7 linked regions of the Macaca fascicularis genome follow. Each later gene encodes a partner of the first gene's protein in a complex. Links are inferred from orthologs where the notes say so. Each region holds a gene or a part of one and is shown in the gene's direction. Other genes may lie near its edges. The genes, in order: HDAC2, CDK2AP2, CDK2AP1, PHF12, KBTBD4, DNTTIP1 and HMG20B.

Region 1 (3,500 bases):
AAACCTGCATAATAATGACTTATATTAAGCTTATGATCCTGGCTGGGTGTGGTGGCTCACGCCTGTAATCCCAGCACTTTGGGAGGCCGAGGTGAGTGGATTACCTGAGGTCTGGAGTTCGAAACCAGACTGGCCAACATGGCGAAACCCTGTCTCTACTAAAAAAAGTACAAAAAAATTAGCTGGGTGTGGTGGCATGCACCTGTAATCCTGCTACTCAGGAGGCTGAGATAGGAGAATTGCTTGAACCCCGGAGGTGGGGGTTGCAATGAGCCGAGCTCACGCTATTGCAGCCTGGGCAACAGAGTGAGACTCTGTATCCAAAAAAAAAAAAAAAAAAAATTATGATCTATCTGAGCAGTAAGAAACTAAAATGTATTTCTTATAGTGCTTGTGACTTAAGGATGTACAAAGATATTAATATATAAAACAAGGACCCTTATTCTTGAAGAGGTTACAATTCAAGGGCATAGGGAAAGACTAAGAAAGGGTTATATATGTCTGCCATATCCCCTTCATTCTGTCAATACTGAGGAACTAAATGTGTGATGTTGTGTTATTTATCTGTATATGTTTTTTCCTTGTTGTCTTTAATGTCCTTCTGTATTTTGGCTCCCATGAACCTAGTTAATTCTTACAAGCTTTCAAGATCAAGATTAGCCACGGAAATAGGCAACCAGCTGTTACATCTTTTTGGTTTAGTAACTTCCTGACATGCATTTCAAAGTTACAGATATTAATACGTATTTAAGGAGTTTTAAAGAAAGTAAATCATACAGCAATTGAAGTTACTTTTAGAATGTTAACTTACTGTAATATTAAGGGGAAAGGTCTAGAAAATTTAAGCCTGTGTTTTAATTAAATGAGAACTGTTGTGCATAGACAACTATTGAGTTCTTGTTAATAGACCAGAAATATTCCACAGATACTCCTGATAAGATTTGATGATGATCTTTCACAGATAACACTGTAATTACCTTGGATAAAACAATAAATATATTTTAAAGTTGTAAACTTTATATTACACTGTGAAGTGTATGTTTGATGATTGCATCAAGCAAAAAAAGTATTTGTAGGAAATAGTTTTTGTAAGAAAAGGCTTTCATTAATTTGCAGAGTGTGTTGAAATTAATGAAATCCATCTTCCACAGTTAATGTTGGAGAAGATTGTCCAGTGTTTGATGGACTCTTTGAGTTTTGTCAACTCTCAACTGGTGGTTCAGTTGGTAAGTGCTAATACAATCAGATTTAAAAGTTGTTCTAAATTTGGTGTGTATCTTCCAGGTTATTTGTGTAAAGCAGGAGTTTTAATGATTGTGAATTTTGATAACAAAAGGAAATCAGTATGTTTATAGTACAGTACAATTTGCTTTCAAACCTCTGTTTTGTTATTGTGACTTAAATACTTTTGTAACTTACATTTTTCACTTACAGACTTCTTTCATCCCCCTTGTCTTCTAGCTATCATTGTTAGTACCACCATCTACATAAACCATTATTTAATCTCAGGGCGCAGCTCTGGGAGAATGTTTTTCTAAGGAGAAACTCCTATTTATGTCATAGATGATTTTTGTTAAGTTTTATGATTTTAAGCTCTTTCTTATGCATGGCATACACTTGTAGGGTTTTCGTCTCGTTGTACTAATTTTTTATGTTAAATATTTAAAAAGTCTACCTTGTTTCTACTTCTTAGCTGGAGCCGTGAAGTTAAACCGACAACAGACTGATATGGCTGTTAATTGGGCTGGAGGATTACATCATGCTAAGAAATCAGAAGCATCAGGATTCTGTTATGTTAATGATATTGTGCTTGCCATCCTTGAATTACTAAAGTATGTTAATTTATATTGGTACTTTTTTCAGTGATAAAATGTTTTCATTAAAACACAATAAAAGTCTGTGGCTTAAAAAAAATCAGGTAAGCCATAGGTTGAAATAGTTAATGGTGAATTTTCTGGGAATTCATTACAAAACAATGAAGAAATGCAGGGAGTTTGCCCAAATCTTCAATTATTAAGAGTTAGTGTGTGGCCAGGCACTATGGCCGAGGCCTGTAATCCCTACACTTTGGGAGGCTGAGGTGGGTGGATCTCTTGAGCCCAGGAGTTTGAGACCAGGCTGGGCAACATGGCAAAACCCCATCTCTGCCAAGAAAAAAATTAGCCAGATGTGGTGGCATGCATCTGTAGTCCCAACTACCCAGGAGGTTGAGGTGGGAGTATCTGAGCCCAGGAAGTAGAGTCTGCAGGAAGCCATGTTCCTGCCACTACACTCTAGCCTGGGCAACAGTGTGAGATCCTACCTTAAAAAAAGAATTAGAAGTGTATAAAAGGCTGGGTGCCCGTGGCTCACGCCTGTAATCCCAACACTTTGGGAGGCCAAGGTGGGTGGATCATGAGGTCAGGAGTTCAAGACCAGCCTGACGAGCATGGTGAAACCCCATCCTACTAAAAACACAAAAATTAGCTGGGCATGGTGGCACGTGCCTGTAATCCCAGCTACTCAGGAGGCTGACGCAGGAGAGTTGCTTGAACCTGGGAGGCAGAGGTTGCAGTGAGCCAAGATCATATCAGTGTACTCCAGCGTGGGCTACAGAGCAAGACTCTGTCTCAAAAAAAAAAAAAAAAAAAAAAAAAGAATTAGAAGTGTATGTAAATGTCAAAACTCCCATTAAATATCCTTTTTTAAAAGTAGTTTGGCAGTTTTCATTTTAGTTAGTTTCAACTAATAAAAAATGACAATGACCTTGGAAGTTTATGTTCTAGTATTTTGTAAATTGTAAATTGAAGACAAAAATTTGAAACCAGTATTTAAGGAAATTTGTTTACCTGTTGAGTTAGTCTAACTGCCTAACTTCCATATGTGAATGAGGCTTTGTTCTCTACTGATGGATATAAAATTATCTCTGAGTTGCTGCAGGAGTTATTTTTCCTTAGCTGTGGCTGCAGTTTGAGAGAGAGAGATCTGTAGAGGTACTTATGAATGTGGACATTTGCAATGTTATTTTTTGCCATCAGTTATGACACATCTTAGCAGATTCTACTTTATATTGTACTGAGCTGTTTTTTGCTTGTAGTTATTCCATGCATGCTATCCATAGAGGCTGATTTTTCAGTCACTGAAAATTGATACTGACTCCTCAAATAAACAGTAATTGAGCAGGATCAGTGTAACATCTTGTCAGCTCATCAGGAGCAAAGGAAAATCATTTGCAATCATTTGCCTTGTGTTTTAATTGACTGTTGATGTTGGTTCCAGTGTCTTCAACTCTTTGAGCAAGTTCTTGCCCACTCAGCTAATAGTTTTAAACAACTTTAATTTCTCTGGACACAATTTTTTTGGGTGGTGTAATCAAACATGATTTAATAAATTGACTTGGTGCACAGCTTTCCTTGCTTATCTAACACATGAGCCACTCAGAAACTTTACCTTGATCACAGCCTCATTTCTGTTTTTTAAATTTTGTGAAGAAATTTTGCTATACTATTATACGCTCTTTA
Region 2 (3,032 bases), on another chromosome or scaffold:
GTGGGGGTGGTACTGAGATTCGAACCCAGGCGGTTGGCTCCAGTCTGTGCTCTTGACCAATTTGGTCCGGTGCCCGGCACACAAGTAATCCCTGTTTGCCCTACGGCCATTATCACTAACTGAGGCAGCGGCGCGGGGCCTTGGGGGTGAGGGCAAAGGGGTCCTTGAGGTCGCCCTTGGACCTGAGGACAAGCCAAGCCTCAGGAAGAACGGTGCGCGGCGGCATAGATGAAGGGCCCGTTGCCATGGGAACAAACGCAGGCCTCGGGCGGGCGCATGCGCAGATCGGGGAGAGGGTGTTGAACCGGTGAAAAGTGACGTAAAAGCGCACGGGGTGGGGCGCGGGGCTCGGGACGTCAAAGCCCTGCGTCCTTCGGCCCCCGGAGCAGAGAAGCGCGCACGGCAGCGGTGACAGCGGCCACGGCAGCGGCGACAGCAACCCCTGCTGGGCCGAAACTGGGCAGAGCGGAGCAGACGTCTGAAGCAGCGCTAGTGAGGCGCGAGGGTGGCGCCCGCGCCCGGGAAGACCCCCTCGGCGCGAACCGGCGGCCCAGCCCCGGGTCCGGGTTCCCGAGGCCCCGCCTCTAGGGCCTGGGGACTAATCGGATTGAAAGCGCGCCGGCCCGGGCCGCGAACTCGCCAATTGCGGAGGGCGGTGGCCACCGCCCAATCCGGAGCAGACAGGTGCGAGGTCCGGAAGGCGGAGGCCAATCGGCGGCGGTTGCGACCTGCTGGGGCAGGTCTCGGCCAATAAGGAGGCTCGAGTGACATCTTCGCCCACCAATCGGGAGTGAGGGAGCATTCGTGCCCGCTCGCCCTTCCGGCCAGACCTCTATTTACCAGGGGCGTGCAGCCCGCTTGCCAATCAGAGCGCGGCTGAGCGGCCCGGCAGCCAACCCCCGAGGAGCGGCCGGCTGGCGTCCGCCGCGCCCAGGAGTTGGGGATGTCCTACAAACCCATCGCCCCTGCCCCCAGCAGCACCCCTGGCTCCAGCACCCCTGGGCCGGGCACCCCGGTCCCTACAGGTGAGGATCCAGCTCCACCCCTGCTCGCCTGCCGGGCGGTCGAGGTCTCGAAGAGAAGACGGCCTGAGTTCTGCAATACTGGGCTTGCCGCCTACCCTCGCTGAGCCTCAGTTTGCTGGCCTGTGAAGTGGGCGTGGTCACGTAAGGGCTTGTAGGTGGAGCGCAGTGGGAGGGATTTGTCCCTGAAGTTGATCAGCCTGGAATGAAGCATCCTTTGGAGGGAATCGGGCGAACCCGGTCCTGGGCTTGGAAAAGCTGGGAGGCGGCGTCCCTGCCCCGCGCTGACCTCTTACTCGCGCCTGTTGCTGCAGGAAGCGTCCCGTCGCCGTCGGGCTCAGTGCCAGGAGCCGCCGCTCCTTTTAGACCGCTGTTTAACGACTTTGGACCGCCTTCCATGGGCTACGTGCAGGTGAGTGGGGCCAAAGGCTTGCTTATGGATGGGGACTGGAGTCCCCCTCCCCGCCAGGTGCCTGAGCTCACTGCCCTGTTCTCTTTTGACATAGGCGATGAAGCCACCCGGCGCCCAGGGCTCCCAGAGCACCTACACGGACCTGCTGTCAGTCATAGAGGAGATGGGCAAAGAGATCCGGCCCACATATGCTGGCAGCAAGAGCGCCATGGAGCGCCTGAAGAGAGGTAAGTGAGGCCAGGCCGCCCTGCTTAGGAAACCGACACTGGACTATCTTCCATTAGGGAAAGAAAGACATCCGGAGGCCACCTGAGCCAAGCCTAGAGGAGGGCCAGTATTACTACCCAGAGAGGTGTTTTGAATCGAATTGAAATTGCGTCCATTTCCAGGGAAGAGCCTGGGAATTTGTACTTCTACAGGGCAACCTTGAGGATTAACCAAACCTCTAATCTCATCTAGCCGTCATTAGTTTGGAATTTCTCTTGCTGAAAGGGGAAAGGGAGTGGGGAGGCAGGGGTCCTCCTCTGGAGGGCAGTGGGTGGGGCTGTGGAGCGTTGCTGAGACCCCACCCCACCACCAGGTATCATCCATGCTCGGGCCCTAGTCAGAGAGTGCCTGGCAGAGACAGAGCGGAACGCCCGCACGTAACAGGAAGCGCCCCGGCCTCAGCGTCTGGACCTTTCCCGGCCACTGCAGAGCACCCGCTTCTCCCTGGCCTTCATCCCGAGTTGCACTAACCATCCTGGGCTTCCTGTCCTGTGTCCCTTGGTGGGTCCCCTCCAGGAACCAAGGAGCGGCTCTCCAGGTGGCAGCACTAAGGACATCCCCCCACAACAAGAGTTAGCAGCGAGGTCCCCATGAGTCCCACCCATGACCTGCCAACAGTGTTGCCCACCGGAACTTTCTGTGGTCCCCACCGCTCAGCCCTTCCCAGCCCTTCTCCCACTTTGTCCCGAGCGTCCTTCTCCCCCAGCAGGGGCTCAGGCCTGGCACCTCACTGCCTTGTGTCCTGAGCCATAGTGACTCTTTTATCTGTGTGTCTTTTGCTAAATATGCCCTTTTTATATTAATAAAAGATGATTTGGAGTTGTGCTCTCAGCTCTGAGCCTTTCTGGGTCTGGTTCTTCAGCTAAGCCTGGGTGGGCCAGGCAGAGAAAGGGGAAGAGGAGACTAGGAGTGGGGAGGGTGTGACTAAACAGGGTTTGACTTGCCTCTGTGGGCCATCAGCCTCAGGTGGGAACCGGGCCCTCTCCGCCCCAGCCGTGGCGCTGAGAGCCCTGGGCCTTCCTGTGGTGCCACCAGGGGGCAGCACAGGGCCTGGCTGCTTCCACAGCCCTTGGCGCTATGGGCAGCCTGGGCCTGGAGGGCGCTTCCTCTGGATTGGCGGTGATGCCTGGCAGCATGGAAATGCCAGTTCACGTAAGCCACTCCCTCAAACGCCCTAATGCCCTGACAACACCCCAGCCTCTGAATCAGCCCTGAAGGTCTCTGACTCCTCAGAGAGAACGGGCACTGCTGCTTCCAGCCCTTGGCCTCACAGTCAAGGGGAGGGGCTGGCCGGTTGCTGCTGTCACTACCCCAGCACCTTGTAGCAGGCT
Region 3 (4,173 bases), on another chromosome or scaffold:
AATTCATTATATAGTGAAATCATGCTGTTCTGGAGCTATTGTTAAATAAAACATGTTAAAATCAATTTCACCGGTGTTTTTTTACTTTCTCAAATGTGACTACTGAAAAATTGAAAATTACTTATGTGGCTGGCATGCTATTTCCATTGGACAGTGCTGCTCTAGAGGACTAGGCGCCTGGGACCAGCCACATGGGTGGCATTAATTTATTCATGGAATAAGGTTTCACTGAGCATCCTTCGCTAGTGCTGGTCTACAGCTGATCTCAAGGGTGGGGGTTAAGCTGGGGAGGGGGTGTCGTCGCCTGCACCTTTGGTCCTAAAGGAGAAGGCAGGCCTGGGTGGGCATCCCTAGGTGGGTGCTTTTGTTACCAGATCCGGAGATGATGCTTGCACGGCTGTGTCTAATTAAATCTGCAAACCATGGCGATTAAAAACAACAGAAAAGGGTGGGCATCTTATGTATTTTAACGAGCTTTACTACTTCGGCAGAACTCCAAAATTAAAAAAAAAAAAAAAAAAAAAAAGAAAAAGAAAAAAAAGAGAACAAACCCACAACCTTTAGGTTATTCATCTAATCCAAATCCAAAATACACTCGATGATTACATTTCAATCAGATCCGAAGATGGGCTGGGGGTGGGGTCGAAGGAAGATTTAAATTGCCCCGTAAAACTCCAGGGGGTAGAAACTTTGCCAAGTTCAGTTCTTGTATCCTCAGCGCTTGGAACAGTGAGTGGCGCATAGTAGGTGCTTCCCTTAAATACTGGAGTGAGTCTACGCACGAAATTGTGCGATTCAGGGGTGAGTTTTCCGGGAAGGGGGATGAGGGGTGGAGAAGGCCTCTAGCTTTTGTCAGTCTCACAGGAGTCTTGGATCCCCAAAGGGTTAAAAACCACTTCATAAAGACAGGGACATGAAATTTATTTGAAATCAATGTCAAGCATCAGTTATTCGAATCCTGGGGCTTGGCCAGACCCGGGCGTCTGGAATGATCTACGTGCTTAAATACACCACTCGCCACCATTTTCTCCAGGTAATTTTCCATCCCTGCCCCCACCGTCAAGGGGAAGAAAGTGCTCCTCGGATCCCGGCCGCCCTGGCCTCCTGCAGCTGCCGCGGGGGCGGCCCCCAGTGCACCCCTGGAGCGCCCGGCGCGGGGCGGCCGCCCGGACGCGCGCGGGCCTCAGGCGCCGCCGGGACCCCAGCCCCCCAAACTTTGGCAAGTTGCGGGCGCCGAGCGCACCCGGAGGCGCGGGGCGCGGCCGCAGGCGGAGCCGCCCCCTGACGCCGGGCCGCCCCCTCCCGGCCCCGGCCGCCCCGCCGGCTCCGCGGAAAGTTTGCGGCCGCCCCTGCGCCGCGCCCGGGGCCTGGGTGAGACTGCGGCGGCGGCAGGGCGCGGACGGCCATATTTGCCGGCGCGGCCCGAGCCGCCGACAACAAAAAGTGCGCGGGCGCTCGGCGGGCGCTCGGACGGGCGCGGGGCTGCCACGCTGCCGCCCGGCCTCGCCGCCGCCGCCGCCGCCCTCGCGGCCTGGCCCCGCCGCGCCCGGCGCGCCCGCCGCCCGGGGGGATGTCTTACAAACCGAACTTGGCCGCGCACATGCCCGCCGCCGCCCTCAACGCCGGTGAGTGAGCCGCGTGCGACGCGCCCCGAGCGCCGCCAAGTTGGGGGTCCGCGCGCCCAGCCCCGGCCGGGGGATGCCGTGGGCGCCCGCGGAGGCCGGGGGCGGGGGGCTCAGGGTCCCGGCCCGGGGCAGCGCTGCCGCCGCCATGATTTCCGAGCCCGCGCCGCCAAAGTTCGCTGGTGCGCCCCGCACGCCGAGGGCCTTGGCTGGGGGTGCGGGGCGGGCGGCCTGGGGTGACCCCCGCGCCGGCGGCTGCGGATCGCAGGGAGCGCGGCGGGCGAGGGCGAGGGCGGGGGAGGCTTGTTCTCGTCTCCTTTTTCCTCCCGCTTCTGGGCGGCTCGGCGAGGGCCCCTGCCGGCGGGAGTCGGGAGCGGCCCGGGCCGCGCCGGGAGCGGGGAGCGGGGCGCGGGGCGCGGGGCCCCGCCGCCCTGGGGAGCGGGGTCGTGGAGCGGCCCGGGCGGGAGACGCTGCGGGCAGGGCCAGGCCCCGCGCGGGCCGGCGCGGGCGGAGGGCTGCGGGGCTGCCGCGGGCCCTGAGGTCGTGGGGCCGCCGGGACTGGGACCGGGATGGGGTCGCCGGTGGGCAGCGGACTCGGAGGCCGGGGGGCCTCGGCCGGGCGCGTGGGAGCAGGGACTGCCCCATGCGGTCACGCGGGGATCCCCGTAAGGTGTGCGCGGAGTGAACGAAGTTGGCGCAGTCCTGGGGCTGCTAGGGCCCGCGCGCGGGCGTGGGGGCAGGGGGTCACGCGGACGCCCCATCTGGGAGCCCCCAGGGCTGATCCGGGAAGGCCCTCGATGCAGAAGCCGGGAGGGGCTCCCCTCGACCTTCCTGGGGCTGCGGCGGCAGCCGGGCGCTCCCAGGAAACTCCTCCAGAAGTTGTCAGGCAGCTTCGGGCTGAGCCCAGGGGACCGAGGGAGCCATGGGGAGTGGGCGCAACATTGAGGGATTGGTAGGTGCCGGGCTTTGTGACCTCACTGGGGCCCCTCTTCTCTGACACTTGGTCGGAAACAGACTTCCCAAAAGGCGGTTGTGTTGCGGGGCGTGGGGGGTAAGGACTCGGAGGGAAAGGAGTGGCCCCGTTGGTCACCGGTGCCACGCTGGCTCTCCTGCTCGAGTTTTGGGCCTTGTTTGCAAACGTTGACTTCATAAACCTCCCACATCCGAAGTAGGACCCATAAAAACGATATTTAAAAAAACCTTGGACACTGAGGTGTAGGGGCAGGAAAGGGTTAATCGTCAGGGTGCTGAGGGAGAGTTGAATTGCTCACTTGTGGGCTCGGAGTCCCAAAGAGCAAACAGCCACTGTTTTCTTCTCAAACATTCTCACCTCCTCTGGGGTCCGCAGACCTTACAAAGACGGGCTTTGTTGCCAGGTAGGACTGCCAGCAGCGTTCTTCCTCTGGCCTGTGGGGAGGGCAGGGGCTGGTGTTGCCAGCCTGGGCAAGGCTGACAGCTCAGGCTTGACCTGGTGTCATTGGGGCCGGGGCCTTAAACTGGGACCTTCAGGGTTTGGGGTCACAGGGATAGCGGCACTCACGGGGACCCCTGAAGTCCTGTTCTGAGCTGGCTGCACCTGTATTCAGCTTTTCTTCTCTTTCTCCTGTGGAGAATTTCAGGAGTGCCGAGATCCCCAGATCTGGGCTTTTTGGTGCCCCTCCCTCTCCCCCATGGACCCTTTTGCAGAACCCCAGCTCCCCTCCTGCCATTTGCATCCAAGATGGACTCTCCGCTGCTGCCGCTGCTCCTCCGGCTTCCTTGTCATCATCCCTCACGCCCTGCAGCCCTGCCTCCTGCTCACGGGTTGCCAAGCCGCGGCCTGGCCGGTGGTGGCAGTGGCGGAGTTAGACAAAGCCCCCGCCTCCCCCGCCCCAGAGCCCCCCAGGCGCCCCAAGTGGCGGGAAGGCCGCCAGCTCCCCAGGCCCCGGCGCTCTTTGTCTGGCGTGGGGGCGGGGAGCCGCGCCTGGCCCCAGGAGCTTCCTGGCCTCTGCCAACCCCTCGCTCCTGCACACTGCGCTCATTGTCTGAGATGCGCCGAGACGGCCTGCGCTGACGTGGTCCCTGTGTCCCGGTCCCTGTGTCTGCAGGAAGGAGTGACCATGAGTGGAACTCGGGGCATTTCCGCCATCTCTCTCCAGGACTAGACACCCCCCACCCAACCCTGAACAAGGGACTGGCCTGGACAGAGCATTGGAGTCACCGAGCTATTGCTCCTCGTCCCCCCAGCCAAAATGGGACAATTTCTCATTCCTCCTTCCTCTCAGCCCCGCAAAACCTAACCCCAGTATCATCAAATAGTAGGGTCTGGAGCCTGTAGACCTTCTCTTGGGAAGCACTGCCTCTAACAAATGGAGAAACTGAGGACTGGAGGGCGGGGGGCCTGTCTGAGGTCACACAGCCAGGAGTGGCACAGCTGGGGCTGGCGCCAAGTCCAGTGGGGAGGACAGAAAAGGAGAGGTGAGGAGCAGTGGGCAAAGCAGTTGGGGAAGAGGACGGGGGCACACCGAGTTGATTCGAGGGTGCGTGGGAAGTGGCTAGCGCCCCTCCTGCC
Region 4 (3,500 bases), on another chromosome or scaffold:
CCCCACAGACAGGCAAGTGGTTTATTCCACTCTGCCGTTCTAGGAGCACTATTAAAATCAATTCACCCAACTACAGGAGGCAGCAGCACAGGCTGCATTGGGACCCATCTCACTGCAAATAGCAAGTGAAATGCCCAGCTGCAGATCCTTGTATGCTCTGTACTCAATGCTGTTTAAGTAAAAGTTACTTGACTGGATTTTAGAAATGCCGAACTATTTGCTCTGTGACCCTGATTTGCTTCCACATTCCACTTCCATCTCAGCAGCTTTTTAATCTTTCTCTTTGGCTAATAGAAATCGAGATAAATATGCTGGACGAGAAGCTGATCAAGTTTCTGGCCTTGCAGAGAATACATCAGCTTTTCCCCTCCCGGGTCCAACCTTCACCGGGCAGTGTCGGGACACATCAGCTGGCTTCTGGAGGGCACCACACAGAAGGTGCGCATGTACACACCTGTCACCACATCATCAGATCTCCCCTCTACGTGTGCGAATGGTCACCTTGCCTCCATGGAGAATCTGAGCTTCCAGTATTCAAATCTTCTTGTGTGCTTTTCATGGGCTTAATAAAGCACCATGGTTTTTTTCTGAAGAGAGCAGGAACAAGATGGCAACCACAGCTTTCTTATCAGACTTGGGGAAGTCTGCTGTAACTTTCTTTCATATATAAGTCCACTTTGAGACACAGCAAAGCAGCTACCAGTACCTTTGGGTATATGTAGTGTACTTTCTGCTTACTTGCTTTCAAATATTTGAATTAGAAGGGCTTTCCGACTGAGTGCAGTGGCTCACACCTGTAATCCCGGCACTTTGGGAGGCTGAGGCGGGAGGATCACTTGAGCCCAGGAGTTGGAGACCAGCCTGGGCAACACAGTGAGACCCTATCTCTACAAATAATTTTAAACTTAGCCAGGCATGGTGGCATACACCTGTAGTCCCAGCTGCTTGGAAGGCTAAGGTGGGAGAATCGCTTGAGCCTGGGAGGTCAAGGCTGCAGTGAGCTATGATTGCACCACTGCACTCCAGCCTGGGTGACAGGGTGAGACCCTGTCTCTAAATAAATAATAAATAAATAAAATTTTTAAAAGAATGGCTTCCCAAGAAGGAACTTTTCAAGTTCAAGGTGAGAAATAGAATAACCGTAGGCCAGCCTTCTGGAAATTTTCCCCAAGTGGTTAACTCTGTTTCAGGTATGTCTGAGCACTGGCCATTAAAAGCCTTGCTGCTTCAAAGTGTGGTTCCCAGACCAGCAGCATCAGCAGCCCCTGAGAGCTTGTTAGAAATGCAGAGCTCAGTGCATTGGTTTTTTGCCTATTTTTAAAGAAAACAGCAAAAGAAATGCAGAGCTAAGGCCCCTCCTCAGACCTATTGAATCAGAATCTGCATTTCAACAAGATATGTAGGCAATTCATATGCACATTAAAGTTTGAGAAACACTGGTCCATGCGGTCTGTTTTTCCATGTTCTCCCTATAGTACCAGCTGGAATATCCCAGATTAGCCAACCAGGAGCCCAGGAACTTACAGAGTACTGTCATCTCTGACTTCTCTGACTATCTTCAAAGATGGTCCTCTGCACCCTGTGTTGGAAATGCTGTGGGTGGGGAGAGAAAGTCTACCCTGCAGCAGCTCAGTGTTGGATGTGAGTTTGGAAAGATGAGTCATCCAGCGGGATTTTCTCCAGGCCATGAGCCAAAAGTCCAGATTTTGTTGGTTTATGTTTGGATCACAGGATCTGAGTTTCTGAATGATCCTATTCCTATGTTTGTCTTGTAGTGCAAAGAAAGGAGGTACAGGCCCGAGCTGTGTTCTACCCCCTCTTAGGGTTGGGAGGAGCTGTGAACATGTGCTATCGAACCCTCTACATCGGGACAGGTGAGCCAGCCAGGAAGCTGGGAGAGACACTGAATCTGTTCAGCCCTAAAGACTGATACCCTTACCCACAGAAGTTAGAAAGGGGTGAGGGAAGCCCTTTCCAGAGTTGACTGCTTTAAACCAGTGGATAGCTAGACAAGAGAAATTAAGAATAGAGACAATCAGCCGGTCACAGTGGCTCACGCCTATAATCCCAGCATTTTGGGAGGACGAGGCAGGAGGAACACTTGAGCCCAGGACTTCGAGACCAGCCTGGGCAATATGGTGAAACCCCATCTCTACCAAAAACAAATACAAAAAACTTAGCTGGGCACATGCCTATAGTCCCAGCTACTTGGGAGGCTGAGGTGGGAAGATCACCTGAGCCTGGGAGGTCAAGGCAGTGATCCTATTCATGCCACTGCACTCCAGCCCGGGCAACAGAGTGAGACCCTGTCTCAAAAATAAAAGAGACGATCAGTTCCTTGTCTTCCCTTGTTCAGGCCCTTTTGCTTTGTCTTTGCCCAGTGTTGCATCAGCAGAGATGAAAGTCAGCTCTGACTACTGCCCAGGGAGGCACTTTAAACACTGCGGGGAAGAACCCAAGGAGAAGGCAGATGCTTTGTCCCTGGTGGTCTTTGAAAGAGTGATAGGCTCACACATACCCAATCTTCAGTTAGCCCTGTATCTGTTTTTTGTTTTGTTTTGTTTTCCCTAGAAGTCCTAGAGACAGATAGTTCTATATCTGGTACAGAAGGACAGACAGATTAGTCCTTACCCTAGAAACTTCCCTTTCTTTAAGGTGATATGATTTTCTAGGCTCTGCACCCTCTTGTTGTATTTTCATAGAAATATCCCATCCTCTTCAGTAGCTCACTGTTCCCTTCTGGGTAGCAGCCACATGTTCTAAAGCAGATCAGCTGGCAGGGACAGCTGTTCTTTATCAGGAGCTTGGAAAAGACATCAGTTTTTGTTCAAAAATAAAAGGGGAGGGCCCTGAGCTACTCACCCTTGAAGTCTCTGCTAGTGCCAACCCAGAAGCTAACTCCCTCCCTGTCTCACCTCCCCGACACATGCACCTTACAATCTGTTCTCTGCCTTCCTTTTCCTCTACTCCTGCCATCTTGCAGGAGCTGACATGGATGTGTGCCTTACAAACTATGGTCACTGTAACTACGTGTCCGGGAAACATGCCTGCATATTCTACGATGAGGTGAGGGCTGGAGATGCGGTGGGAGGGAGCTTTCCCAACCTAAGGCCTCTCCCAAGCAGTAGGTTTTTGCTCAGTGCCCTGAGGGGAGGGAAGAGGGATTGGGAGTCCTCTCCTTTTCTTCCCTGTCATTCCTGGAGGAGGACAGTCTTGATGTAAAACAGCATCCTACCAGGGGTACCTGCTTCACAGGAGCAGGGCTACCATTTTTCCTGAGGTTAGTCACAGGCACAGCAGAGGGAGCCTACCCTAAAGCAGGGGAGGGGACCAGCGTAGAAGGAAGCCAAGCCCTGTGGATGTGTCCCTGTGAATTTCATTATCATCATGGGCCAGTGAGTATCACACCAAGAGGAGCGGTGCTGAGAAGGCAGAGTGAAGGAGGATTGGGAGAGTAGGGGGTGTGGGACACCGGAAGGAAGGCTTCCCTGAGGAGGTAT
Region 5 (2,882 bases), on another chromosome or scaffold:
GCGCCTGACCTAACCTGGTCTCTTTTTGATGGCCAGGTTATGAATGGTCATCTGTTTTTGTTTTTGCTTTTTTTTTCTTTTTTTTTTTGAGACAGAGTCTCACTCTGTTGCCCAGGCTGGAGTGTAATGGCATGATCTCAGCTCACTGCAACCTCCACCTCTCGGGTTCAAGCAATTCTGTCTAAGCCTCCCGAATAGCTGGGAATACAGGCGCATACCACCACGCCCAGCTAATTTTTGTATTTTTAGTGGAGACAGGGTTTCACCATATTGGTCAGGCTGGTCTCGAACTCTTGAGCTTAGATGATCTGCCCACCTCAGCCTCCCAAAGTGCTGGGATTACAGGTGTGAGCAACCGCGCCTGGCCATCTCTGTTTTTTTAATTTTTTATATTTATTTATTATTTTTTTGAATAAGTCATCTCTGGCTTGAAGTTGATGTAAGCTGGGGAGAAGGATGTCTTTGTAACCCCAGAACCACCAATCTATGAGCTCTCAAAGTTCCTTGAGAACTACTTTCATCAAGTTAACAATCTTAATCACCCTTTGTCCAAAGCACCAGTTTATGAGAGTTTTAAAAGTTACAAGGGTGAATACAAGATTCTCCTCCCGGCATAAATTGCCTCAAAGAAAGTGACTAGAGGACAGTTGGATGCCATGCAGTAATTAGAGAGTAGTATGTTAAAGCTAGGTACAGGTGTAAAGTCCGGGATCTTAAGGATATGTGTCTTAGCAGAGCCTTAGCCTAGAACTTAACAGCTGTCATATAATTTTAATTTTGCCAATAGGAAATTGGGGAGAATGTGCACATTTACCTGATTGGGAAAGAGTCATCTCGTACCCACTCGTTGGCTGTGTCCTTGCACTGTGCAGAAGATGACTCCATCAGTGTAAGTGGCCAAAACAGCTTGTGCCACCAGATCACTGCGGCCTGCAAGCATGGTGGAGACTTGTATGTGGTGGGAGGGTCCATCCCACGGCGCATGTGGAAGTGCAACAATGCCACCGTTGACTGGGAGTGGTGTGCTCCTTTGCCTCGGGACCGGCTCCAGCACACCCTGGTGTCTGTGCCCGGGAAAGATGCCATATATTCACTGGGTGGCAAGACACTGCAAGATACCCTCTCCAATGCAGTCATTTATTATCGCGTAGGTGATAATGTGTGGACAGAGACAACCCAGCTAGAGGTGGCTGTGTCAGGGGCTGCTGGTGCCAACCTCAACGGGATCATCTACTTACTGGGGGGGGAGGAGAATGATCTGGACTTCTTTACCAAACCTTCCCGACTCATCCAGTGCTTTGACACAGAGACAGACAAATGCCATGTGAAGCCCTATGTGCTGCCCTTTGCAGGCCACATGCACGCAGCTGTGCATAAAGATCTGGTGTTCATCGTGGCTGAAGGGGACTCCCTGGTATGTTACAATCCCTTGCTAGACAGCTTCACCCGGCTTTGCCTTCCTGAGGCCTGGAGCTCTGCCCCATCCCTCTGGAAGATTGCCAGCTGTAATGGGAGCATCTATGTCTTCCGGGACCGATATAAAAAGGGGGATGCCAACACCTACAAGCTTGACCCTGCCACTTCAGCCGTAACTGTCACAAGAGGTATTAAGGTGCTGCTTACCAATTTGCAGTTTGTGTTGGCCTAAGGCTGTGGGGAGGGGAGGAGAGCTGCTCACTCCTTTTCCCTCCCCATCCAAACTCAAAGTCCCCCGGGCCCCAATTCAGAGTAATGTATTTTTTGGCACATACTAGAAAGGCAGTGCCTCAGCCCTTCCCTGAACCCATGGAGGTGTTCTGTTTGGGGCTTTTTAGACTGCTGCTGCTCAGCTGGTTGCTTGAACTGACAGTAGGCCAGCCTGTTCTCTGCCATCCCCTAGTCATTGTGTGCCTCACCACAGCTTGCTTTAGAGCAAGCTGTTTCTCAGACCTTAGGCACAGCCTCTCCTCTTTACCTGATCAATGTTAAATATAAGCACCCCTGATCCCAGGACATAAGGAAAGATGCCCAATTGTACTTTTGTTCTATAACCTATGAAATGGCTAGTTGATCATTTTTCCACAAAGAATTAGGTGTTAAGAGTTTTCCTTCGGGCTTTACTTAGGAGTATGGACTAAGCTGAAGGTGTACTTCACCAGCAAGAGTCAACTCTAGAATTCAGGACGTTCCTTCTATTGTTTTCTCATCCATCTGTCAGGAAATGTAACTTTGGTTTTATTTTTGGCTTATTCCAAGGGGTAAGCCAGAAAATAGAAATGATTATTTCTGATTAATAGCAGAAACTTTTTCAAACTCAAATATGTAAGGTGTCTGCTCTTTTAAAAGCTCTAAGCTAAGTCAAGAGCTAGGAAGTGTTGATACAAATAAAAGTTTTTGAAGGGATATGTGTGTCTGTGTTGAATTCCGAAGGGGTGACTTTGAAGGGGCGAGAGTGTTTCATTCCCTCAGGGGGACTCCTTACGTACCATCACATGGCTCAGTCTGCAGCAGTCCTGACTGCGCCCATGCTCCCACTTCTCCAGACAGGATCCCTACTCCACAGGGCCAGTGACACTCAGATTCTGACAGTGGCAAAGACCCAGAGCTGAGTTTCCTTTTTTCTAGTGCTAAGTCTTTTGAGTTGTGGTGCTAAATATTATTAGGCACAATATTAGGTACATAATAATAGATTTTTGTTAAAATACTTCTTTAGCTCTATTCAAGAAAAGAAGATGGCCCCATCCCTGTCCTGTATCCCATGAATACAAGCCACACTAAATCTTTTCCTTTCTAGCCACACAACAGTGTTATTTCAAGAAAATGAAACAAGACAGAGAAAGCAAAATTACCTATTACCTATTGGCACATTTTGGTTATGTCAAGTCTGGGCTTAAGCCCTGTGG
Region 6 (4,088 bases), on another chromosome or scaffold:
AGATCATGCCACTGCACTCCAGTTTGGGTAACAGAGTGAGACTCTGTCTCAAAAAAAAAGGCGGGGGGAGAAACTATCAAAAACCTACAGAAAGGCAGTAGTTGAGTTTGTTAAGAACTAATGAAAAAGCACCAAACACCTACATCTTTGTCCCTCTAGCCCACACAGGCCATTCTTGGACTGTATGAAGGCTAGCTGGCAGAACTCAAGAGAACAGTTGCTATGTATGACTCAGATAGTCTGCCTACATATACCACCTTTATTTCTTTTTCCTCTATTTCTTTTTTTCTTTATCTGTCCTCTTTATGCCTTTGGTCAGCTGTGATACCCAATGGTGTCCACTGGCACTGCTTAGTCCTATGGGCAGGTACAAGGTTAAAACCTCCCTAATAGGATGAAAAAGTTTGGAGCCAGGAAGTTGCCCTTATTGTTATAAGATTGATGTTGGCTCATGGAGATAATTAACATTTGTTGATGGCCTAACATGTGCCTAATATGGTTTTTTTTTTTTTGGGGGGGGGGGGACAGAGTCTCCCTCTGTCCTCCAGGCTGGAGTGCAGTGGCGCGATCTCGGCTCACTGCACAATCTCGGCATAATTAACATTTGATGACGACCTAACATGTGCCTAATACGCCTGTTTTTTTTGCTTTTTGTTTTTTGTTTTTTTGAGACAGTCTCCCTCTGTCGCCCAGGCTGGAGTGCAGTGGCGTGATCTTGGCCCACTGCAACCTCCGCCTCCTGGGTTCAAGAGATTCTCCTGCCTCAGCCTCCTGAGTAGCTGGGATTACAGGCGCCCAACATCAGGCCCGGCTAATTTTTGTATTTTTAGTAGAGACGGGGTTTCGCCATGTTGGCCAGGCTGGTCTCGAACTCCTGATTGCAAGTGATCCTCCCGCCTCGGCCTCCCAAAGTGCTGGGATTACAGGCATGAGCCACCGCCCCTGGCACAGCATATTAAAATCTAGTCTTCAAACACTGAACTGCAGGCGTCGCTGCACCAAACACTTCCCTCTGCTCCCCAACCCCAGCCTACAGAAACCAGCTCCCCTCCTCCTACCCCGCAGTCATCCACAGGCCTTGGCCCAGCGGGAAACGTCCCTTGACTGAACCGCCACTGAACACCCACACTCCACAATCGAGGGGCAGCCCTCCCGAGAGGAAGCCCCAACGACCTCCAACCACAAGGCGTCTAAGTGTAACTGTCCCGGGCGAGGCGCGGCGGTTCGGTTCCCATGGTAACCCCGCAGCTCCTGCGTCGCGCTTCCGGGCGGACGAGCAGCGCGCCTCAGTGACGTCACGGCGCCACTTTCCGGCCGGTGGCAGAGTCCGGCGAAGTTGTGGTGGCCTGGGGCGCCATGGGAGCCACTGGCGACGCCGAGCAGCCGCGGGGACCCAGCGGGGCCGAGCGGGGCGGCTTGGAGCTGGGGGATGCGGGCGCAGCGGGGCAGCTGGTTCTCACGGTGAGGGCGCCCCCGGTGAGGTCTGGGCTCGGGCCGGGCAGGGCCTCGGGGCTCCCGGGACCCTGGCCCGCGGGCGAGAACGCGGCGGCTGCAGCTGCAGAGGGGGTTGGCGTTTTCGCAGCCCGACGACCTGGATTCAAATTCTGGTGCCGCCCTCCTAGCTAGGTGACGTGGGCCAGCTCTGTCGACCCCCTGAGTCCCCAGATCATCTTCTATAAAATGGAGATGATTAGTACCTGTCTCATAAAAGTTGTTGTGGGATGGGAAGATAAAGGCGGGTACAGCGCCCAGGACATCACCTGACACAGAGTTGACCCTCGGTAAACACTGCTTCCCTTCCTCCTGCCGTGCCAGAAGGCAGGGTCGGGACTTTTAAGGCAGGAAACTTCCTCAGTTCCTCTTTTGTGGAGGGGGCCTTCCAACTGTTGTCCTCCCCCGATACCCCAAGGCGGGAGAGATGGTGACGGATCTGAGAAGCAGGAATGTTTAGGTTTAACTTCATACCCACCCTCCACCTCCACCCCACGCCAGTGTCACAGGCCGCAGTGACATTTGTTCCGTTGGTCCCCACAGAACCCTTGGAACATAATGATAAAGCACCGGCAGGTGCAGCGGAGGGGCCGCCGCTCACAGATGACAACAAGGTAAGGCTGGCCCTGCATGGGACTTGTATCCCAGCCACTGGCTTGCATGGCAGCTTTGGGATCCCCAGTGCACAAGACTATGGAGATCTACAGCCTGTAGAAAGAGCACAGGACTGAGAAAGAGGAGACTCCGATCCTGTAACTCTGTGTGATCTTGAGCTAGTCAAGTCACTTCCTTCTCTGAACTCACGAAATGGGGAAGGGCACAGGAGATGGGTTGGGGAATAAAAAATACCTAAGACCCCTCACATTCACTGGCTCTGTGATTGAGGGCTCTTAAGAGGTCAGTTAGCATGGAGTTTAAGAGCACGGGCTCTGGAGTCAGACAACTGTGTTCTCATGCAGCCTCTGATGAGCCCCTGTTTTCTCAACTATAAAGACGGATTAATAGTATCCATCTCAGGGAAGGGAGAGAGCACAAGGTGGGCCTTTGGGATGCTGGTAGTGGTGAATTGGATGTTCACTGTAATTACTCATTAAAGTGTATAGACTTTTCTGTATAATAAGTATTATATTTCATAAAAACACTTTGGGCCGGGCGCAGTGGCTCACGCCTGTAATCCCAGCACTTTGGGAGTCTGAGGTGGGCGGATCACCTGAGGTCAGGACTTTGAGAACAGCCTGACCAACATGGAGAAACCCTGTCTCTACTAAAAATACAAAAAGATGGCCGGGTGCAGTGGCTCACGCCTGTAATCCCAGCACTTTGGGGATCTGAGGCGGGCAGATCACCTGAGGTTGGGAGTTTGAGACCAGCCTGACCAAGGAGAAACCCGGTCTCTACTAAAAATACAAAAATTAGCTGGGTGTGGTGGTGCACACCTGTAATCCCAGCTACTCGGGAGGCTGAGGCAGGAAAATTGCTTGAACGCAGGAGGCGGAGGTTGCAGTGAGCCAAAACCACACCACTGCATTCCAGCCTGGGCAACAGAGTGAGACTCCGTCCAAAAAAAAAAAACTTTGAAAATAATACCCACTTCATAGAGTTATGAGAATGAAATAAAGTCATGCCTTTGTGATTTGAACAAAATCTGAGCATGTAGCTAGTTTTCAGTAAAAGTTGTCTAGTATTGTTAAAGAATTCTATGTCCATAATTGACTGGGCAAGGTGAGAAAGAATATGTTTCGGACATGCCCCCTCACCCTGTCTCCCTCCTGAATGCAGTTTCACAGATCCTGCCATCTCTATGGATCTCCTCCGAGCTGTCCTGCAGCCTAGCATCAATGAGGAGATCCAGACTGTCTTCAACAAGTACATGAAGGTGAGAGGGACACAGGATAAAAAATAACGGGAAAGACTCATGAGGAGCCCAGTCCTTCCTTGCATCACCAGTCCGTCTCTTTCCTACACACAGATATCTAAAGTTTTCCTTTTGTTTTTTTGTTTTTTTGTTTGTTTTGTTTTGTGTTTTTGAGACAGAGTCTCACTCTGTCACCCAGGCTGGAGTGCAGTGGCATGATATCGATTCAGTGCAACCTCCACTTCCCAGGTTCCAGCGATTCTCATGCCTCAGCCTCCCTAGTAGCCAGGATTACAAGCGCCCACCACCACACACAGCGAATTTTTGTATTTTTAGTAGAGACAGGGTTTCACTGTTGACCAGGCTGGTCTCAAACTCCTGACCTCAAGTGATCTGCCCGCCCACCTTGGCCTCCCAAAGTGCTGAGATTATAGGTGTGAGCCAGCGCGCCCGGCCAGCTTTCAAATTTTTAATCCCCCAAGAATTTTATCCCTTCCTTGAGGGTAATTCAGATATCTTTTTTTTTTTTTAAATCTGCCCTTGTCACTCACTGTCACGTTTTTGTTTTTGTTTTTTTTGCTGACTTCTTGTAAGGATGAAATGACTTAAATGTACTGTGCTGAGCACTGCACTTAGGACATAACAAGTGTCCAGTAAGTACTTCTATTAGTTGTTTAATAATATCACCATTATTGGGGCCATGCACAATGGCTCACACCTGCAACCCCAGCACTTTGGGAGG
Region 7 (4,013 bases), on another chromosome or scaffold:
GCCAGAGAGGAAACCGACTTACGGAGAAAAAAAAAAAAAAAAAATCAGAGGCGAGGGCCTGGCTGAGCAGGTGACATTTGAGCGGACTTGAGGAAGAGGAAGGGGGCTGGGCGCGGTGGCTCACACCTGTAATCCCAGCACTTTGGGAGGCCGAGGCAGGTGGATCACGAGGTCAGGAGTTTAAGACCAGCCTGGCCAAGATGGTGAAACCCTGTCTCTACTAAAAATACAAAAATTAGCCAGGCGTGGTGGCAGGCGTGTGTAATCCCAGCTACTCGGGAGGTTGAGGCAGAGAATTGCTTGAACCCGGGAGGCAGAGGTTGCAGTGTGCCGAGATCGAGCCACTGCACTCCAGCCTAGGCGACGGAGCAAGACTCCGTCTCAAAAAAAAAAAAAAAAAAAAAGAGGAAGTGAGCAGCCCCCAACTTGGGTCTGATCCCCCAGAGCGGAGCATCCTGACCCAAGTTCACCAGGTCCTTGCAACCTCCCTTTACCACCATCTTTCCCCAAATACTTCCAGCCTAGCTCCCAACCCCACCCCCTGCCTGACCCACACGCCGTTCTCAGCTTCGCAGCATCCCAGCCTCTATGCCCTGGACATCGTGCGATGTCCCCATTGCACAGGAGGGAAAGCCCAGATCCCACTGGGAAAGCCGCCCCTGTGGCCAGAAGCCCTCGGATCCGGATGTCGGGGGTTCTAAACTGAATAAATAAATAGGAAACGTCTCCGATAGGTTTTGCAGGATGTTAAGAACAGGTCCCACCTTGTCCTAGGGCTGGGGGCTGCCTCACAGGAACTTAACCCTAGCACCTCCGTCCCCATGGCAACCGGGGCGGGGCCCGACCCGGATCCGCCGGTCTCGCCATCCGGCAGCTGCTGGGAGTATCGCCCTCAGAGCGGGAGGAGGAGTCGGCGCCTCACCTACTGGCCCTTTAAGAGGCTCCGCCCGGCAAGTCCGCCACGCGCTCCCGATTGGTCCCGAGCGCGGCCGAGCGCAGCCGAACTTGACGCACCGCCCGCCGCCTTCCTTACCAACCTCCCACGCGGCTCAGCAGCCTCCCCAGCCAATCGCCGGTCGGCGCGCCGATCGGTATCTGCATGGGCACGCCCCGGGGGAAGGCCTCACCCAATGGGACCGTTCGCCGAGGCCTCATTAGCATGCCGGGGGCGGGGAGGGGCGGGGCAGTCGGCGGGGGTGGGCTGCGGGCGGTTGGTTGGAGCGTCGCGCAGTCGGGAGGTCCGGGAAAGTTTCTTTGGAGGTGAAAACAGCCGCGGAACTCCGGGCCCTGCGAGGGGGCGGGGGTGCGGGGGTCCCAGGGCCGGGCCGGGGTCTTTCCTGGGCCGGAGGGAACCGGCCCAGGCCTCCCGGGGGGCAATCGCCCAACAAAGGATTCTTGGGGCGCCCGCCCTCGAGGACTTCCCCGCCCCCGGATCCGGCCCCCCCAGCGCTCCGGGCCCGGCATCCCGGGGCTCTCCATCACGGGATACCCCAGTTCGCGGTCCGCCATCAATCAGCCCAGGCGCTACTCAACTCCGCCCGCGTCCGTGTTCCAGGTCCGGCCCGGAGCAGCCATGTCCCACGGCCCCAAGCAGCCCGGCGCGGCCGCCGCGTGAGTGCACCGATTCCCTCCCCACGCCCTCGCTACCTTCCCGGCTGCAGCCCTAGCTCCTGAACCCCCGCCCCAATCACCCCGGCCGGGGTCTCGACCGCCCCCAACCTGGGTCAGGGGGCTTCTCCCTCCATCCAATCCTGCATACCCCACCTCGGCCTCCAGCCCCTCCCAGGAGCCCCGCTTGTCCCACCTTCCGCGGATACTGACCCCATCAGACCCTGCTTCCTCGGGCTCGTGCACTCTCGCAGCAGCCCCGTCGTCGGGGGTCTAAAAGCCTTGGGGTAGGCGTTTGGGGGAGGGGAGGCTCTAGGGACGGGGCTGACCTCTGTATCCTTGGCTCCAGGCCGGCGGGCGGCAAGGCTCCGGGCCAGCATGGGGGCTTCGTGGTGGCTGTCAAGCAAGAGCGCGGCGAGGGTCCACGCGCCGGCGAGAAGGGGTCCCACGAGGAGGAGGTGAGAGTCCCTGCGCTGAGCTGGGGGAGGCCCCGGGCTGCGGCCCCAGCCTTGAAGTCCCGCCCCAGGCTGGATTTGAATTGCTTGTGGCTCCGCCCACAGCCCAGATTTTCCTCCGGAAGCTGAGACCCCGCCCCGTGCGAGCTGCCACGCCCCTGACAGGTCCTCTGCCTCCCTAAGTCCAGGCCCCGCCCACCACACAATGCCAGCTCTGCCAACTCTAAGGTCCCGCCCACTTCCACTCCTTGGGGGCGGCACCCTCCCCATGGTCCTGTGGGCCCTTTCTCCAAGAAGCCACGCCCACCAAGCAGAGGCCACGCCTACAATCTAAGTAAACACCACCCCTGTGCTCAAACCTCGGCCCATAGTCTCTGGGATCCCCTCATCCCTGGCCAGGGACCCCTCTAAACCACCGTGTCCTGACTCCCGACTGGGCCCTACCTCCATCTCTTCCGGGTTCTTCCTCCCAACTAGGCCCCGCCCCATCCCCGCCCATACAGCATTAGGCCCCGCCCATGCCCCTCTGAGCCCCGCCCCAGTACGCCAGGCCCCCCTCCCAACGACGCAGCCCGGTTCTGCAGCCGGTGAAGAAACGCGGCTGGCCCAAGGGCAAGAAGCGGAAGAAGATTCTGCCGAATGGGCCCAAGGCACCGGTCACAGGCTACGTGCGCTTCCTGAACGAGCGGCGCGAGCAGATCCGCACGCGCCACCCGGATCTGCCCTTTCCCGAGATCACCAAGATGTTGGGCGCCGAGTGGAGCAAGCTGCAGCCAACGGAGAAGCAGGTGAGCGGGGCGCTGAGCAGGGCCGGCGGACCCCCGTACTACCAGTAGCCCCGACCCCCAAAGGATTCCACGTGCAGGGCTTTTCCTTCTGCCTGGTGAAATGCCCACCCATGACCAGTTTTTGTGTGTGTGTGTGTGTGTGTTTGTGTGTGTGTGTGTGAGATGGAGTCTTGCTCTGTTGCCCAGGCTGGAGTGCAGTGTCGCGATCTCGGCTCACTGCAACCTCCACCTCCCGGGTTCAAGCAGTTCTCCTGTCTCAGCCTCCCAAGTAGCTGGGATTACAGGCGCCAGCCACCACGCCCTGCTAACTTTTGTATTTTTAGTAGAAATGGAGTTTCGCCATGTTGGCCAGGCTGGTCTCGAACTCTTGACCTCAAATGATCTGCCCACCTCAGTCTCCCAAAGTACTGATATTACAGGCATTAGCCACCATGGCCAGCCCATGACCAGCTTTTGGGGGCGCGGCTAGCAAGAGGCAAGACAGATCGAAAACTGGGTGACCAACAAAGATATGTCTAAGAAGTCAGGATAAGGCCTGGATTTTTTGTGAAATCTGATTTTCATATACTGTTAGTTTAAAAATTGCAAAAACATCACGGAAATGTAACAAAACCACCACCGCTTTGCACCCCTGTAAGTGAAATTTCAAAGAGAAAAACGGGTGCAGGAGGGAGTCTAGGTATCCACATACCCTGGAGGTTGGGTGCCTGCCCATGACTCTGGCGCCCAGGAGTGTCTTGTCAGGGCGGGAGTTGGGGATGAGCCTGGGGCATGGGAAGTGATGTGGGAGCTCAGAGGTCCTTGAGCAACAGGCTGAGGAGCCGGTTCTGTCTGTCTGGAGGGAATAGGGAACTATGGAAGGTTCAGGAGAGGGGAGGGTGCTGTGAAAGCTGAGTGATGAAGACTGGGTCCTGGCGTTAGAGGCTTCCCCTGCCTCAGGTCTTTTGGTGCTGTTCCCTAGCGGTACCTGGATGAGGCGGAGAGAGAGAAGCAGCAGTACATGAAGGAGCTGCGGGCCTACCAGCAGTCGGAAGCCTATAAGATGTGCACGGAGAAGATCCAGGAGAAGAAGATCAAGAAAGGTGGGAGGGGTCAGGCGCGGTGGCTCACGCCTGTAATCCCAGCACTTTGGGAGGCCGAGGTGGGTGGATCATCTGAGGTC

What was found.
Region 2: HDAC2 (region 1) and CDK2AP2 share a complex: the UniProt entries of both Homo sapiens proteins name them as parts of the nucleosome remodeling and deacetylase (NuRD) repressor complex. The link is inferred for Macaca fascicularis from reciprocal best matches to the Homo sapiens genes HDAC2 and CDK2AP2.
Region 3: HDAC2 (region 1) and CDK2AP1 share a complex: the UniProt entries of both Homo sapiens proteins name them as parts of the nucleosome remodeling and deacetylase (NuRD) repressor complex. The link is inferred for Macaca fascicularis from reciprocal best matches to the Homo sapiens genes HDAC2 and CDK2AP1.
Region 4: the proteins of HDAC2 (region 1) and PHF12 are in contact, whole or in part, in a cryo-EM structure (PDB 8BPB), measured with the Homo sapiens proteins. The link is inferred for Macaca fascicularis from reciprocal best matches to the Homo sapiens genes HDAC2 and PHF12. Residues at the interface, in NP_001518.3 of Homo sapiens: Gln27, Tyr202, Gly203, Leu212, Arg213, Pro228, Met229, Arg230, Thr356, Glu358, Tyr359, Lys362, Ile363, Arg366; in NP_001028733.1 of Homo sapiens: Met21, Gln25, Met298, Asp299, Cys300, Leu301, Glu302, Pro303, Pro304, Leu305, Thr306, Ala307.
Region 5: the proteins of HDAC2 (region 1) and KBTBD4 are in contact, whole or in part, in a cryo-EM structure (PDB 9GGM), measured with the Homo sapiens proteins. The link is inferred for Macaca fascicularis from reciprocal best matches to the Homo sapiens genes HDAC2 and KBTBD4. Residues at the interface, in NP_001518.3 of Homo sapiens: Gln27, Gly28, His29, Pro30, Asp100, His142, Gly150, Phe151, His179, Lys201, Gly203, Glu204, Tyr205, Phe206, Gly208, Asp231, Gly269, Asp270, Arg271, Leu272, Gly273, Cys274, Tyr304, Arg307, Asn350, Met351, Thr352, Gln354; in NP_060565.4 of Homo sapiens: Cys290, His291, Ser309, Arg312, Arg313, Trp326, Pro329, Pro331, Arg332, Asp333, Arg334, Thr355, Gln357, Ser361, Ala363, Val373, Trp374, Thr375, Glu376.
Region 6: HDAC2 (region 1) and DNTTIP1 share a complex: the UniProt entries of both Homo sapiens proteins name them as parts of the histone deacetylase complex. The link is inferred for Macaca fascicularis from reciprocal best matches to the Homo sapiens genes HDAC2 and DNTTIP1.
Region 7: HDAC2 (region 1) and HMG20B share a complex: the UniProt entries of both Homo sapiens proteins name them as parts of the BHC histone deacetylase complex. The link is inferred for Macaca fascicularis from reciprocal best matches to the Homo sapiens genes HDAC2 and HMG20B.

Annotation. Positions count from the first base shown.
Region 1 is NC_088378.1:17,995,119-17,998,618, reverse strand, and holds part of HDAC2 (histone deacetylase 2), read left to right. Parts: intron 1-1,151; coding exon 1,152-1,226; intron 1,227-1,693; coding exon 1,694-1,832; intron 1,833-3,500. UniProt on the Homo sapiens protein: Histone deacetylase that catalyzes the deacetylation of lysine residues on the N-terminal part of the core histones (H2A, H2B, H3 and H4).
Region 2 is NC_088388.1:6,866,904-6,869,935, forward strand, and holds CDK2AP2 (cyclin-dependent kinase 2-associated protein 2), read left to right. Parts: upstream 1-1,203; 5' UTR 1,204-1,227; coding exon 1,228-1,434; intron 1,435-1,528; coding exon 1,529-1,661; intron 1,662-2,014; coding exon 2,015-2,082; 3' UTR 2,083-2,532; downstream 2,533-3,032. UniProt on the Homo sapiens protein: Acts as a component of the histone deacetylase NuRD complex which participates in the remodeling of chromatin.
Region 3 is NC_088385.1:130,400,111-130,404,283, reverse strand, and holds the start of CDK2AP1 (cyclin-dependent kinase 2-associated protein 1), read left to right. Parts: upstream 1-1,373; 5' UTR 1,374-1,570; coding exon 1,571-1,625; intron 1,626-1,968; exon of another isoform or gene 1,969-2,292; intron 2,293-2,895; exon of another isoform or gene 2,896-2,998; intron 2,999-4,173. UniProt on the Homo sapiens protein: Inhibitor of cyclin-dependent kinase CDK2. Also acts as a component of the histone deacetylase NuRD complex which participates in the remodeling of chromatin.
Region 4 is NC_088390.1:34,392,910-34,396,409, reverse strand, and holds part of PHF12 (PHD finger protein 12), read left to right. Parts: intron 1-294; coding exon 295-438; intron 439-1,775; coding exon 1,776-1,874; intron 1,875-2,983; coding exon 2,984-3,066; intron 3,067-3,500.
Region 5 is NC_088388.1:18,265,441-18,268,322, forward strand, and holds the end of KBTBD4 (kelch repeat and BTB domain-containing protein 4), read left to right. Parts: intron 1-787; coding exon 788-1,648; 3' UTR 1,649-2,382; downstream 2,383-2,882. UniProt on the Homo sapiens protein: Substrate-specific adapter of a BCR (BTB-CUL3-RBX1) E3 ubiquitin ligase complex which targets CoREST corepressor complex components RCOR1, KDM1A/LSD1 and HDAC2 for proteasomal degradation.
Region 6 is NC_088384.1:101,822,109-101,826,196, forward strand, and holds the start of DNTTIP1 (deoxynucleotidyltransferase terminal-interacting protein 1), read left to right. Parts: upstream 1-1,288; 5' UTR 1,289-1,356; coding exon 1,357-1,461; intron 1,462-2,034; coding exon 2,035-2,105; intron 2,106-3,270; coding exon 3,271-3,367; intron 3,368-4,088. UniProt on the Homo sapiens protein: Increases DNTT terminal deoxynucleotidyltransferase activity (in vitro). Also acts as a transcriptional regulator, binding to the consensus sequence 5'-GNTGCATG-3' following an AT-tract.
Region 7 is NC_088393.1:4,289,502-4,293,514, forward strand, and holds the start of HMG20B (SWI/SNF-related matrix-associated actin-dependent regulator of chromatin subfamily E member 1-related), read left to right. Parts: upstream 1-1,213; 5' UTR 1,214-1,303; intron 1,304-1,555; 5' UTR 1,556-1,573; coding exon 1,574-1,611; intron 1,612-1,937; exon of another isoform or gene 1,938-1,957; coding exon 1,958-2,066; exon of another isoform or gene 2,067-2,113; intron 2,114-2,168; exon of another isoform or gene 2,169-2,647; coding exon 2,648-2,851; intron 2,852-3,812; coding exon 3,813-3,933; intron 3,934-4,013. UniProt on the Homo sapiens protein: Required for correct progression through G2 phase of the cell cycle and entry into mitosis. Required for RCOR1/CoREST mediated repression of neuronal specific gene promoters.